Linked DNA regions of Mus musculus: all the other regions are reported to be linked to region 3. Evidence: microRNA targets listed by miRTarBase, many of them from high-throughput screens and not tested one by one. Region 3 holds a microRNA gene; each other region holds the end of a gene's coding sequence.
What was found. The annotated mature microRNA mmu-miR-1949 reads CUAUACCAGGAUGUCAGCAUAGUU and lies in region 3 at 1,321-1,344, opposite strand. An mRNA with a match to its seed (bases 2 to 7 or 8) in the 3' UTR can be bound and repressed. Matches are read on the target gene's strand: a 7mer-m8 pairs with bases 2 to 8, a 7mer-A1 pairs with bases 2 to 7 and ends in A, and an 8mer does both.

Region 1 (4,099 bases), not on the chromosome of region 3:
GCTCAGGAGGTTAATGCAGTCCCTATTCAAATGCCAACAGCACTTTTGTGTTTTTAGAGATAGACAAAATGTATATCCTGAAATACAGATTCTCAAAGAGTTATACCCCAAATAATCTTGAAACAGAACAAAGATGTTTTCAGATTCAAATTTTTATTTTAGAACAAACACTTTCTGATTTCAAATTTTGATAGTAATTCTCCAGTAATCAAAGCAGTGGCGTTGGCATGAAGGCAGACAGAGTCAGGAGAGACTGGGCTCAAAACCGGCCCCACCATGCATGGCGCCATGTTTTCCCTCCAAAGGGCATTGTGCAAAGCTAGATATGCACATGTGGAGAGTAGAAAGTCAGAGCTTCCACCACACACAAAGATTAACTCAAAATGCATCAAAGGGCAAAGCTAAGAACTAAAACTAAAATTCCCAGGGCAAGCTACAGTCAGCTCCCTTGGAATCAATGCTTTTGTAGATGTGATGACCAAAAATTCAACCAGAGTCAACTATTAACGGGCAGAGGAGACCTAAAACAATTTCTTCAAACGCTATATAAAGAAAGCCACCAAGCATCTAGAACACACCAGCAGTCAGGGAACTAGGAAGCAGAAGCACTGGTGGATCTTAACGACTTCTAGAATGGCATACAAGTCACAAGGACATAGGCAGTTCTAATCTCTGTGCACTGCGGACAGAACATAGAATAGTGTGGCTGATATGGAAACTATGGCAATGCCTACTAATAAAAACAGAAGTACCCTATGACATACAATCTGCTACATGTATGTTAAGACTGAAAGCGGGTCCTAGGGGTATTTGTATATACACGTTCACAGCATAGTCAGGAGCTCCAGGGTGGGAACAACCGAGGTACCCACGGCTGGATGAGTAGGTAACAAGATACATACAATATGCATACAACATATACTACAATACCATTTGTCCTTACAAAGGAAGGAAACCGATATATGATATGAACCTTCATGGTATTCCGCGCTGGAGGCACACACACACACACACACACTCTCTCTCTCTCTCTCACACACACACACACACACACACACACAAGTGCATGCACACAACAAAGAGTCCACATATACCAGGCACTTAGGGTACTCAAATTCAGAAACAGGAAAGAGAATGGTGGTTACCATGAGGAGAGAGTATGCCAAGGACAGGGCAGGGCGGGCGACCTGGCAGTGGCTGGGAGTCCTCAGATGGGCACACTTGCATTTCCTGAGGTGGATGCAGAACAGTGCGGCAGGCAGACTGTACTGTACTGCACTGTGAATGTGCTGAACACAATATATACGGAGCTACATACTTAGCCATACTAAAATGTATTATTTCTATTTAACTAATTTCAAATATGGTCATGAATAAAGGTGTGTAAAATAATTTTGAGAGCACAGGCCTACAGGTAAGAGGTAAAATTTATAAGCTTCTGGAAGTTTGGGTTAGGAATGGTTTCTTAGAGTGAAAGAAAAAAGACATTGTCATTTTCCAATATGAAAACTGCTCTAGTCAAGAGCAGCGGTGTGTGCTTTCTGGGAAGTGCAGCGCTGAAAATGCTCGCGCTTTGGGGATTCCCGGCCAGCCTGGGCTAAGCCACATAAGGGAATGTATAAAAATAAAGACTGTGCTATATAGAGTAGCAAGAGATTGAAAAGGACAAACACGTTGAGAAAAAAATGCCAATTAATCTTTAAGAGACTTGAGCCAACAGTAAATAAAAAATCTTATAGGAAAATAAACAGATAACCCAACTGGAAGCCAGACTGCAGACTAGAAAACACTCTGCAAAGGCAGCATAGAGAGCCAATGAACACACGAAAAACTGCTCAGGTTATTAGACACTAGAGAAATGCAACCAAGATCCCAATAGATGCCTCTTTATCACAAGCAGAATGGCTGTCAGCAATATGAGCAGTTGTGAAAGTCAGGGGTGCTGGAGCCTAGATCCCATGACAGCATGAAATGTGGTAAAATCACTGTAGAAAATATAATTGAGGCCGTCATGATACGACCTTGGAGTTCAACTCTAAGGCATGTATTAAATGAAACGTTCATAGCATTAGTCAAAAGCCCCAAAGTAGAAACAGCTCAGAGCTCATCTGCTCGATGGAGAAATACACAGTGTCTGTCTACTGTGGATGCTACTCAGCAGAACTACACTGCAGACTGATGCTACATGCCAATAAACCTGTCGAATTTGGTAACAGGACTCAGAAAAGACAGGACTACATAGTTCCACTCATCTAATAGACCTGGACCAGAGGGAGAGGGCAGAGTGCTGACCAGTGGTTACATTTCTGGAAAGGATGAGACTGTTCTGGAAGTAGATAGTGGTGACTGCAGCATGCTCCACGAACACTCTAAACTCCATGGGGTTGTCTAAGTCAAAGTCCAATTATGAGACATGTGACTTTTTCCAAATAAAGCTCTATCTACTCAAATGGAGGCATTTCATACAAACACATTTCACTCTCTGTTGAAACTGAAGCACTAGTGGAAGGTGTGGCTCAATGGTCGAGCTTCCTAGCATGCAGAATGTGCACTCCTCCACACTGCACACAGACACCAAGCTTGGGACATAGGTGGCAGGACTGAAGGGTGCAATACTCCCACTCCCAGTGGGGGCAGTACACAGAGCACAAGGGTGCAGTACCTCCTACTCCCAGTGGGGGCAGTACACAGAGCACAAGGGTGCAGTACCTCCTACTCCCAGTGGGGGCAGTACATAGAGCAGACCTCAGTGACACCCTAGGGAATCCTCATAGCTTCAAAAACTTTTAAAATAGCAAGTGAACTTCCAGTCCTTGACTGCTTTAGCCCCAGTGAACTACAGAACAATATAGAATTGCCACTCTGTTCAATGGCAAGAATCACACTGAAGATTTAGTGCCCTGATGGCTTTCTACTGTGTTAAGTGGTCAAAATAATATGTTAAGGATTCTAAACTTTTCCAGCCACTTCATGTCATTGACATTTGTTATCTAGAGTGAACATCTGTTGTGTCCATTTGCTGCATTCCAGTGTTTAGGGATGAGGCCCATAACTTATCTTATGTGATTGTGCATGGTGTCAGCACAGTACATGCGACCAGGATCTAGCCAAGATCACCAAGCATATGACCCAGGAAGGAGCAGCGTCCTTCAGCAGGGTGTGACTTGTGGGCCAGCCTATGCTCTCCTTTTTGGAGCCCACCCATATCTTGAGGATGTGGTCTATGGCTGATTTCACCCCTTTATGAGGAGGGGGTTGGCCTAAAATTGAAACCAAGAAACAGAAAAAAGAGTTGGAGGAGCCACTATCTATGCCAATCTCATCATGGCCTCCTGAATTCACACACTGTGTAATCTGATCGAAGAGTCATCCTTGAACATAATCTCTTCATTAGGTAATTCCCCAGACACATTCTTAGCCCATAGTTGTTTAGTCCCATGGATCTTCTATAAATGACTTCAGCCAGCAGACTCATTCAGAAACAGCACTGATCCATTTTCTCTGGTGTCCTTGGGAGGAACACCTGGCCCAGAGGTGGAAGAGATGCGGCAGCTGCTGTGCTTCCCGTTTGGTTCCTTTCTGTTAAGGACCATGGAAAATCCTGGGTGACTTTCATCTTGCGTTCAGCATGTTATCAATATCCTTTTCTCCCTCTGAATCTTGATCTGGCATCCAGCTGAAAAGAAGCATGCATGCATTTAACCACATCTGGAATAATAAGCACAGCTCTGGTAAGGGTCGTCAGTAACTTTATGAAAGAAGAAACTCGGCTGAGCATGTGGCTAATGCTACAGCCAGGTAAAGCACCTGTAAGCCTTTGTAAAAATACATAAATTATCTATTTTTCTATACTATACTATACATTGAATCCAAGGCCATACATATGTTAGGCAGGCACTCAACCGCTGAGCTACATTCTGTCCTTTTCATATACTTTTTTGATAAGGTCTCACGAAGCTGTCCAGGCTGGCCTTGAATTTACTCTATAGCCCAAGAAGGCCTTAAATCTATTGTGTTCCTGCCTCAGTCTCTTTAGATAGCTGGCATCACTCTGTACCACTGGGTCTGACTAAGAGATCTATTTTCAAAACAAAATCTT
Region 2 (4,099 bases), not on the chromosome of region 3:
ATTTTCTGAAAGCCTCAATTGGAATCTTCGCAGCTGCAAGAAAATAAGACTAGTGCCTCGGGCTGGGTTCCCTAAAGTGTGAGCACCCCCAAGATCCACTCACAACTCTGCAATGCATTGGCAGCAGGAAAGAACACAGGTAGTAGGGGCTGCACACGACGCCCTCCCTTTCCTGAACCTGCACACACTGGCTGGGGTCCTTTCCTACCCTACCTGGCTCTCATTCCTCACCCCGGGAACCAATCGCCTTCCGAGGATGGGCTGACCGGAGAAAGCTTAGAGTGGTACCCAAGCTTGAAATCACAGGTCTCACCTGGAGGCTAGACCTGAGACTTGCTGAGGACAGCTCGATTTATCCACTGAGTCTGGTGAGGCTGACACTTTGCTGGTTAAGTCTGTAGATGAGGTTCATGCTGCTGCCTTGAGGGTGCACAGTTTGAGAAACACCAGCTTGAGGGCTTGAATGCTTGGCATAATTATTGTTATAGTGAGGCATCCCACCACAGACCTTAGTCCTCTGCAAGCCACCCTGACGCCCTTATGTCCCTCAGCAGGGTCCATAAGTACTCAGGAAGGAGCGAGAGCCTTTGTACTTTTCACCTGATCACCAAGCAGTGAAGCCATGGTTACCAGCACGGGAGACAATGAGAGTGCCGTGTGCTGGCCCCAAAGCTGGTACCTGGGAGAGCTATAAAGTTAAAACTGCAGGCAAGGAGGGGAGCCCTAAGAACTCCTCTTCTTTGACCACCACCTACACTCAGGGTTTTGAACTTAGCCTCTCTAGTCTTGGGGGGGGGGGCTTTGCTACAGGCCACTGTGGTGGAGCCCTGACCCCACTACCCAGCAGGTGACCCGTGGCAGAGATGCAGTGGGGGTATTCCTAGTGATTCCAACATACCCCACCTCCAGTCTCTCTGGGAACTTGGCTCTTCCACAGTCCTGTCACTCCATTACAGCTCCACATTCTTTTCCAGCTGCCTGGGGGCCTAACCCCCACATCTAATCCAATGAAGAAAAATCCATTCCGGGTTACAGAGCTTTGGAATATGGTCTCCCTGTGACCAGGCCTAGTCCAGGCCTAAAAGAGTAGGTTTTCTTACCTGCACACACTCTGCAAACTCTACTTCTAACAAGCAACACTAATCTAGGAATCTACAGTATTCTGTGTTACAAGAACCAGAGAACAGTGCTAAACCCAAAGTATGAAACTGGCCCTGGGTCAACAGTGTGGAGAGCCTGTGTGCTGAAGGGAAACTCGGTTTCCCTCGGCGAAGGCCTACTATGCTTGAGTCTACTAATTTAGCAGAAAAGTACCTGTTACATTTGACTGTGCTGTTGAGTGCTACTTAACATCTGTGATACAGGTAATGTTTTGGCTGCCAGTTATTCTGAACGAGAGCGAGAACAGTCCACTCTACAGTGAATTACCACAGAAACTATGGAATTACTCAGTGGTACCTAACAAATGACAGTAAGATCCCTTATATTCAAACAAACTCAGGTACACAAAGAGGGTTTAAAAAAAAAAAGAAACCCACATATCACAGAGATCAACAGCAATGTGCTTCCTGCAAATAAATATGCTGCAAATAATACATTAGTTTTACCAACACAAAATCCAGAGGTCCAAACAAACAAACAAAAATCGCAACACATCCCAGAGTTAGTGCGTTTTTGGATTCACTTTGCAAATGTAAAACTGAACTGTTACAGGATAAGGGGGACACCAGCAAGGGGGGGGGGTGCAGCTTGCAAACTAAACTGATGTATTTTTTAAACAGTACAAACAGAGCTACAAAGGTGGTCATTTCTTGTGACATGGGAGGCGTTAGGGCAAAGGGTAGAGGCGGCTGTGGGTTTTTACCCTTTTTCCTGTCTAGGACCTGTGGTCAGCTGCCTGAACGAGGAGGACAGAACTCTGGAGCAGTATGAGAACAAGCGAAGCAATGCAGAAAACAGATTTTCTTTCTTCCCCAGGAGCATGGTGGCAGGTACTTTGATGCCTAACCCTGTCTGCGGGGACTTCAGTGTGGTAAGGGACATCTCTGCGTGACTCTCGTGAGATTCCTGAAAAACCTCTGGGGGGTGTCAGACGGGAGGTATAGCGTCTATAGCTAAGTGTCTGGGCCTCCTCTGTTAGCTTCTACTCACCCCCAGATGAGAAATCTGTGCTCAGTGAGTATTTGGATCTGAGACTTTCAACCAGGATACAACTGGCTGCAATTCAGGCCTTTTGCAGAGAGCGGTCACCGTGCGCGCGCGCGCCTCACCTACTGTAGCTTAGCTATGGGCATCCACAGATATCCCCATCATTACGGCATGCTGAGCTGCCATCTCTGAAACAGTTTTCAGTCTCCTTGAAGTTTCCCCTCTGCTCCCCTTAGGAGGGACTGGCGAGAGGATGGGCAACTCTGCCCTCTTGCCTGGGTCACATGGGACAGGCATAATGGGACAAAAGGGAAAAAACAATCACAGGCAGGAAGGGTCCTCCTGCCGTCCCCAGCTGAGGCAAGAGGGGACACACAGTGACTTCAGCGGTCCTCTCTCGGGGCAGACTTACTTTCAGGACTGGATGGAGAGTTGATGGAGACTAGAAATGAGGCTTATTTAAGGTACAAAAATCTCCTATTTGTAGTAACCTAGATTTATAGATATAAAACAAGTCTTTCAAAGACTCCATTAAAGTAAAGTACCCAGTATAAAACAGGCTGACCTATCCCAGGCCGTCCTTAGGTACATGTTCATCTCTGTTGCAGAAAGCTGGTGGACATGACTCGATGCTGCCGGGCTTATAAACTAACAAATCATTTCCCCCTTCAACAATACGGGTGTGGGCTGAAGGTGGTCTGGCTAAGGAGTACGTCCTTAGGCATTTGGGCAGTCTCATTTGTCATCATGGGAACCAAGGGACCTCAGGCAGGTGACTCAGCCTAGAGTAACTGTGATGCCAGATGCCAAGAGGGAAACAAACCATTGTTCCTGAGATCTCCGGAGTGTTTGTTTTAATATATAATTAATATATATATACAGAGGCGCCGTGCCCAAGCCTCCCAGGGAATCGCTCCACATGGGAGCAGGATGGAGTACCAGCAGCCCTCGGACAGTCCATGTCGGGTGATCAGAGCTGCCTCAAATATTGGGCATGCTCAGATGCAGCCATGGCACGCAACCTGTCTCTCAAAAGGATTATCCCTGTGTGCTATGTTAACCAAAATAGGCAAATTATTTATGAAACCTTTTTTTTTTTCTGAAACCTTATTTTTTTTCTGTAAAGCAAAATAAATATATACAATTCAAGATTATTTTCTCTTCTTCTAAAAAGATGCAGACAGCGTGAGCGGAGCGTCAGTTAGGAAAACGATTTCAGGAGCTGGGTATCTAACAAGTGAAGACAACTGTTGATCGTGTTTCCATAGTTCTGAGAGGGAGAGAGAGAGAAGCCACAACAATGAGGAGACGGGAGGAGAACTGTGGGAAGGGCTGGACAAGATGGCGGCACGAAATCTGGAGAAGCAGAAATCCACGGTCCCAAAGTGTAGGTCCCGAGAGGACGCGGGTCCTTCTAGAAGCAGTGAGTCTCTGTGTGGCAACCCGAGAGGAACCCTGTGCGTTTCTGTTTCTGTAAACTTGCAAAAGAAGTGGCGGTGGGCTGCTGATGGGGGCTGGATGGGTGTGGGCGGATGCTGGGTGTGGCTGCGGGCTTCAGTGGCCTTCGTCGGTGCCAGAGGAGCAAGCCCAGTCGTAGATGACCAGAGGGATGCTGATCAAGGAGAACAACACCCCCAAGCCCAAGAAAAGGGCCGCCTGCAGCAAGGAGACATGGGTTATTTCCAACATGGCCAACATCACTCCACCCACCCCCAACTCTTACCCCCACACCGCGCGCGCGCGCACACGCACCAGGAAAGAATCGAAACCTCCACCCTCCTCCATAGTGTTATTTGGTATTTGAAGTTCGTTATGATCGTGGCTGAACTTTCAAGACTTTCTTCTAAAACTGGGTGCATGTCATCCCACACAAGGGGCAGACAGCACGCAGATCTGGTGCTGCTCTTGGCTTGTGGGTCATCTCGGGTGTCGGCATGCTACAAATGCCTGG
Region 3 (4,099 bases):
ATTTTTTTTTTTTTGGCTTTTTGAGACAGGGTTTCTCTGTATCGCCCTGGCTGAAATTTTTTTTTAAAAGAATTTGATGGACAGGAAGGCAAGAGTTATGTTAACCTGGAAAGTTATGTTAACACTAGTGCATCAGAAGGATGCGCAAAGGTATGGCAGGCTCAGTGACCTATTGGAGGGTATTTTTAGGGCTAAGCTGGTGCCATTAAGGAACAGTAGTAAAGTAATTATGGGCCTCAATCAAAGAGCAGGTAGATAGAGTGGTAGAACTAGGAGTGGGTAATATGGGATAGTAACTTTCCTGTAAGAACTTGACTGGTTAGGGGGTGGGGGCGTTAGGTACTACACTGAGGAGCAAAAGGGATATTGATGTACATGGGAGGGCAATGATGAAGCTAAGGTGAGCAATGTAGAGGCTACTGATGGGAATGTCAGCAGATGCTCAACCTAGGGTGCTTGGTGGGCCTGGCAAGCGCTTTCACCCCCAAAAACATTCAGGGGGTCAGGTAAGAGACTTCTGGAACTGGTTAAGGAAGCCTGTGTATAGCTCAGCTACAACTATCCCTGAGCTACTCAAGTCCCGGGGCGTCCTGTTGGGTCGCCGAGGTAGGTGTTAAGTAAGGCAGCCTGGTTAGCACCCATGTCCACAGGGAAAACGGAAGGACACAGGTGGGGGCTGCCACCAACCCTTCAGGATATGAGGGAGGTAAAGGTTATGTCTCCCTGTGGAAACCAGGATGCTCTCACAAAAGCTAACTATGTTGGCTCTATTAAACACCAGATTCATTCAGTGATCACTACTTGCCTAAAATTGAGGCATTTCTTAGAAAATCATCATGAATAACAGAAAAGGGGGAGCCTAACTGCTCATTGTACTGTTTGACCTAAGCTAGTTCCCAGAACCCCATGGTCAATTAATATGCATAAATTTATTGACGAGCTAGAGAGCAGAATAGTAATAGAGATTGGGCATCTAGGTTGCCTGGACGGTCTGAAGGGGCCCTGCATACTACAACACCAGACTCAATATTCCCAACAGGGAGCTCACTAAAGGGGATCATGACTTAGCTTTTATTATTGTGGAGCGAGGAAACATCCTATTTTTAGTGAACGTGCAGTCTAGTAACTCCCTCCACTGCCTCAGGTCCGCTCCCAACCATTTACAGGCACTAAATCTTGACTTTTTTTTTTCCTATTTATTTCCCTCAGTGGCTTTTACTCAGTTCCATTTCCAAGTTGTGATTTAAGTAACCTCCATGTCGGAAGATCTGGACTTCAGGTTTCTTCCTGCAGAGCTTGCGCTTCTCTTCCTGGGTAAGCAACTATGCTGACATCCTGGTATAGTTAACAACAGAGGTGGCATGAACCAGGCCCAGAATGCCAACCAGCTATTGGCTGCTGTTCTCCCAGCAGTGTAACACTTGCCTAGGTACAAGGAAACCTAGGTAGCTGCCTACAGCTGGGGCAAACCGGAACTAGCCGAACTGTACTTACCAGGGCAGACATCGCCTCAAACTGGCAGCTGGCCACTATGAAATCAAAACATCCCAGATTAGAGTCAGCCTGTCGACACCTGTGCAATTAAGTTAAAAAACCATCTCCAGCCCTCAAACCCCCTTCACTTTGTTGGGCTGAGTCAAAGAAACAAGAGTAGAGAAACAGTGTGACTTTGGGAGCTCCACCCCCAAATAACCATTCCACTAGCTAAGTCCACTCCCTGGAGTTCTTATTTGTAGAACGGCATTAGCCATTACCCCTGTACATCAGGTAGATTGGACCACAGTGCACTGCTCTGGTGGCTGATTCCTGTAATCTTAACTTGTAGGAAGCCAAAACAGTAAGACTGCCTCCAGAACCAGCCATCCTGCACTTAAGAGAACCACTTTTAAAAATGACACTTTAGTAAAGATGGGGGGTGGGGGCTGACTAAATCTAGACAACAGGCTTAAATACGGGACATTTTTAAAGACAATAAAAGTTAACACTTCGAATAGTAATTGAATGTAGATGTAGTGTGAGGGAGCTTGTGCTTGAGGTTTGCATATCATTTTAACATATCTAAGGGCAAGTTATCCAAGTCCAAACTTCACCCCTAACCAATTCTGACCAATTTAATGGAACAGGAAAAGGAATACAGGACTCATGGTTTAGGTCTAAAAGCCCCTTCAGGGCGTGGGCTGAAGCAGATCTGGTTCTCCCCGGACACGTGTTCCACTGAAACCTTTCTCGGTCCTTGTCTGGGGCTCCGGAAACGCTTAAAGGAGCCAGATTCCAGGTGACTTCCTAGCTGGATAGGGGTACTGTACCTCACTGGCGGTGACTCTTCGGGCTATTCCCTTTAAGATGACCTCCAAGACCGGAGATAAAAAATTTAAAAAAAAAAAAACCCAATTCCTTTTCCTGCCCAGGCAGAAACCTTCTCGCCCCCGCTTCTCGCCTGGGCTAGTAAAACCTCCAGACCCCTTGCTCCTTGGGACCTCACTCACCCGCACGTGCTCGGAGCTCCGCAGGACACACCAACCTCGGCAGAGGCCGCGGTGGAAAGGGCAGCCGGGAGCCGGCGGGAGCCCCGCCCTGGGGCGGTTGCAGGGCGGAGCGATGAGTCCCGCCCAAGAGAGGCGGGACTAGAAACACACAAGGCTGACCAGGGAGGACAGCGACATCCCTATAAGAACAGACCTGGGTGTGAGAATTGGCTAGTTTCCTCACAAAGGCTACATTCCCTGAGCTCCCATCGGGTTCCTTAAGTATATGAGTCCTGGGTTTGCAGCTGCTAAATTTAAAGCCCCTTGTGTCCTAATGGGAGCCAGACCTACTGCCTACCTAGTGCTAGCGGTCGCGGTTTCTGCAGATCTAGCCCACGATTTTGCACCTCCACGTGCAGATCTTTCTGGCTTTCATCATCTGCGTTGTTAGTTGGTTAATGGAACTCCCACACATGCAGGTCGCTTGGTTATGTGCTCTGGGTCTTTTCTGGATGTTAGTTAGATTAGGCCGGTCAATGCTGTAGTCTAACCCTGCGGACCACAGCCTTGACGTCCTTCATTGAAAACCCTTAACTGAGTGGCAGCAGCTAAGACTGGCTTTCTCTGGCAGATTTGGGCTGCTTCAGTGACACAGCTAGCTAAAGAAGGCCATATCCTGGATCTAAGTATACACTTCTCTGTTACCAGGATTTCTTCTGAACACTAACGTTGCTGCCTTTGCCCTGTAGTGATTATGCTTCTATCCTGTTGAACAATTGTCCTGTTGTCCTGTTGATGCTGCCCAGGGCCCATAAGAGCAAGGCCCACCAATCGCAATTCCTGGATCTATTTTGTAACTCCTTCAGATATTGCTTTCTGACTCGCAGCCGAGGCTGTTGATTATGACACCTGTCAATAATGGTCAAGCAAGCCTCCTGGAATCAGCCACTGTCCTTGCCATCTGCCAACATGATTTATTATCTATTTCCTCAGTTCCTTCATAGTGAAAGGGGGTGGGGGTGTTCCTGTGCATTACAACCCTAGCATACCCCTTTGAAAACACTTGGTGCTCCAAATTGATTCCGACAAGACCCTCGGCTATGGAACCAAAAAACTACCAGAGAAGTAGCAATCCCAGTCCTTGTCCCCAGGTTTGATGGCCTTGGATCCTGCCCCTGGCTAGGGAAAGGCTTACATAAATACAGTAATTTAAAAGGTCACATGGTCTGTGCTGGACTGGAAGGCAGGGGCTGTGTCATAATCAATCCAGCTGTCAGCATATTCATAAAATGAGACCTGTTCAACCTGACAGATTGGCTGGGTAATTGTCCTGCAGAGCTCTGCTAAAGGAGGAAGTACATGACCACCTCATACAGTTTGCTATTTTCTCTTCCAAACCCACAAGGTAAAGAAGTCAGGACTACCTGCAGAGTTCATAAGAGGGAAAGATGCAGGTAGAGTGTGCAAGCACATGCATATGAGTGACTTCAGAGAAGAGGCGGGAAGGAGTTGACCATAGGGAAATGTGAAGGTCTTTGGGGAGAAAGAGACCAATCACCTGGTGCCGATTGTATTTACAGATTGTATTCACATTTTAGTCTAGGTCGAAGTAGAAGGCAAGAATTGTGGAAAAG

Region 1: miRTarBase lists Coa5 as a target of mmu-miR-1949. Seed matches in the 3' UTR shown: 7mer-m8 at 1,090-1,096.
Region 2: the mRNA of Slc38a1 is a reported target of mmu-miR-1949. The part of its 3' UTR that is shown has no 7-base or 8-base seed match.

Annotation. Positions count from the first base shown.
Region 1 is chr1:37,416,952-37,421,050 of GRCm38, forward strand. Coa5 (cytochrome C oxidase assembly factor 5) reads right to left here. Exons shown (of 3, transcript NM_198006.4): 3 at 134-3,676. The coding sequence ends at 3,635. Among named protein-coding and RNA genes, the nearest start is that of Coa5, 11 kb to the right of the region's middle.
Region 2 is chr15:96,573,009-96,577,107 of GRCm38, forward strand. Slc38a1 (solute carrier family 38, member 1) reads right to left here. Exons shown (of 16, transcript NM_001166458.1): 16 at 1-3,804. The coding sequence ends at 3,703. Among named protein-coding and RNA genes, the nearest start is that of Gm32457, 6.7 kb to the right of the region's middle.
Region 3 is chr18:35,551,857-35,555,955 of GRCm38, reverse strand. It overlaps Mir1949 (microRNA 1949), which reads right to left and starts at 1,389; the gene lies at 1,320-1,389. It overlaps Snhg4 (small nucleolar RNA host gene 4), which reads right to left and starts at 2,546. Exons shown (of 4, transcript NR_038073.1): 1 at 2,487-2,546; 2 at 1,495-1,529.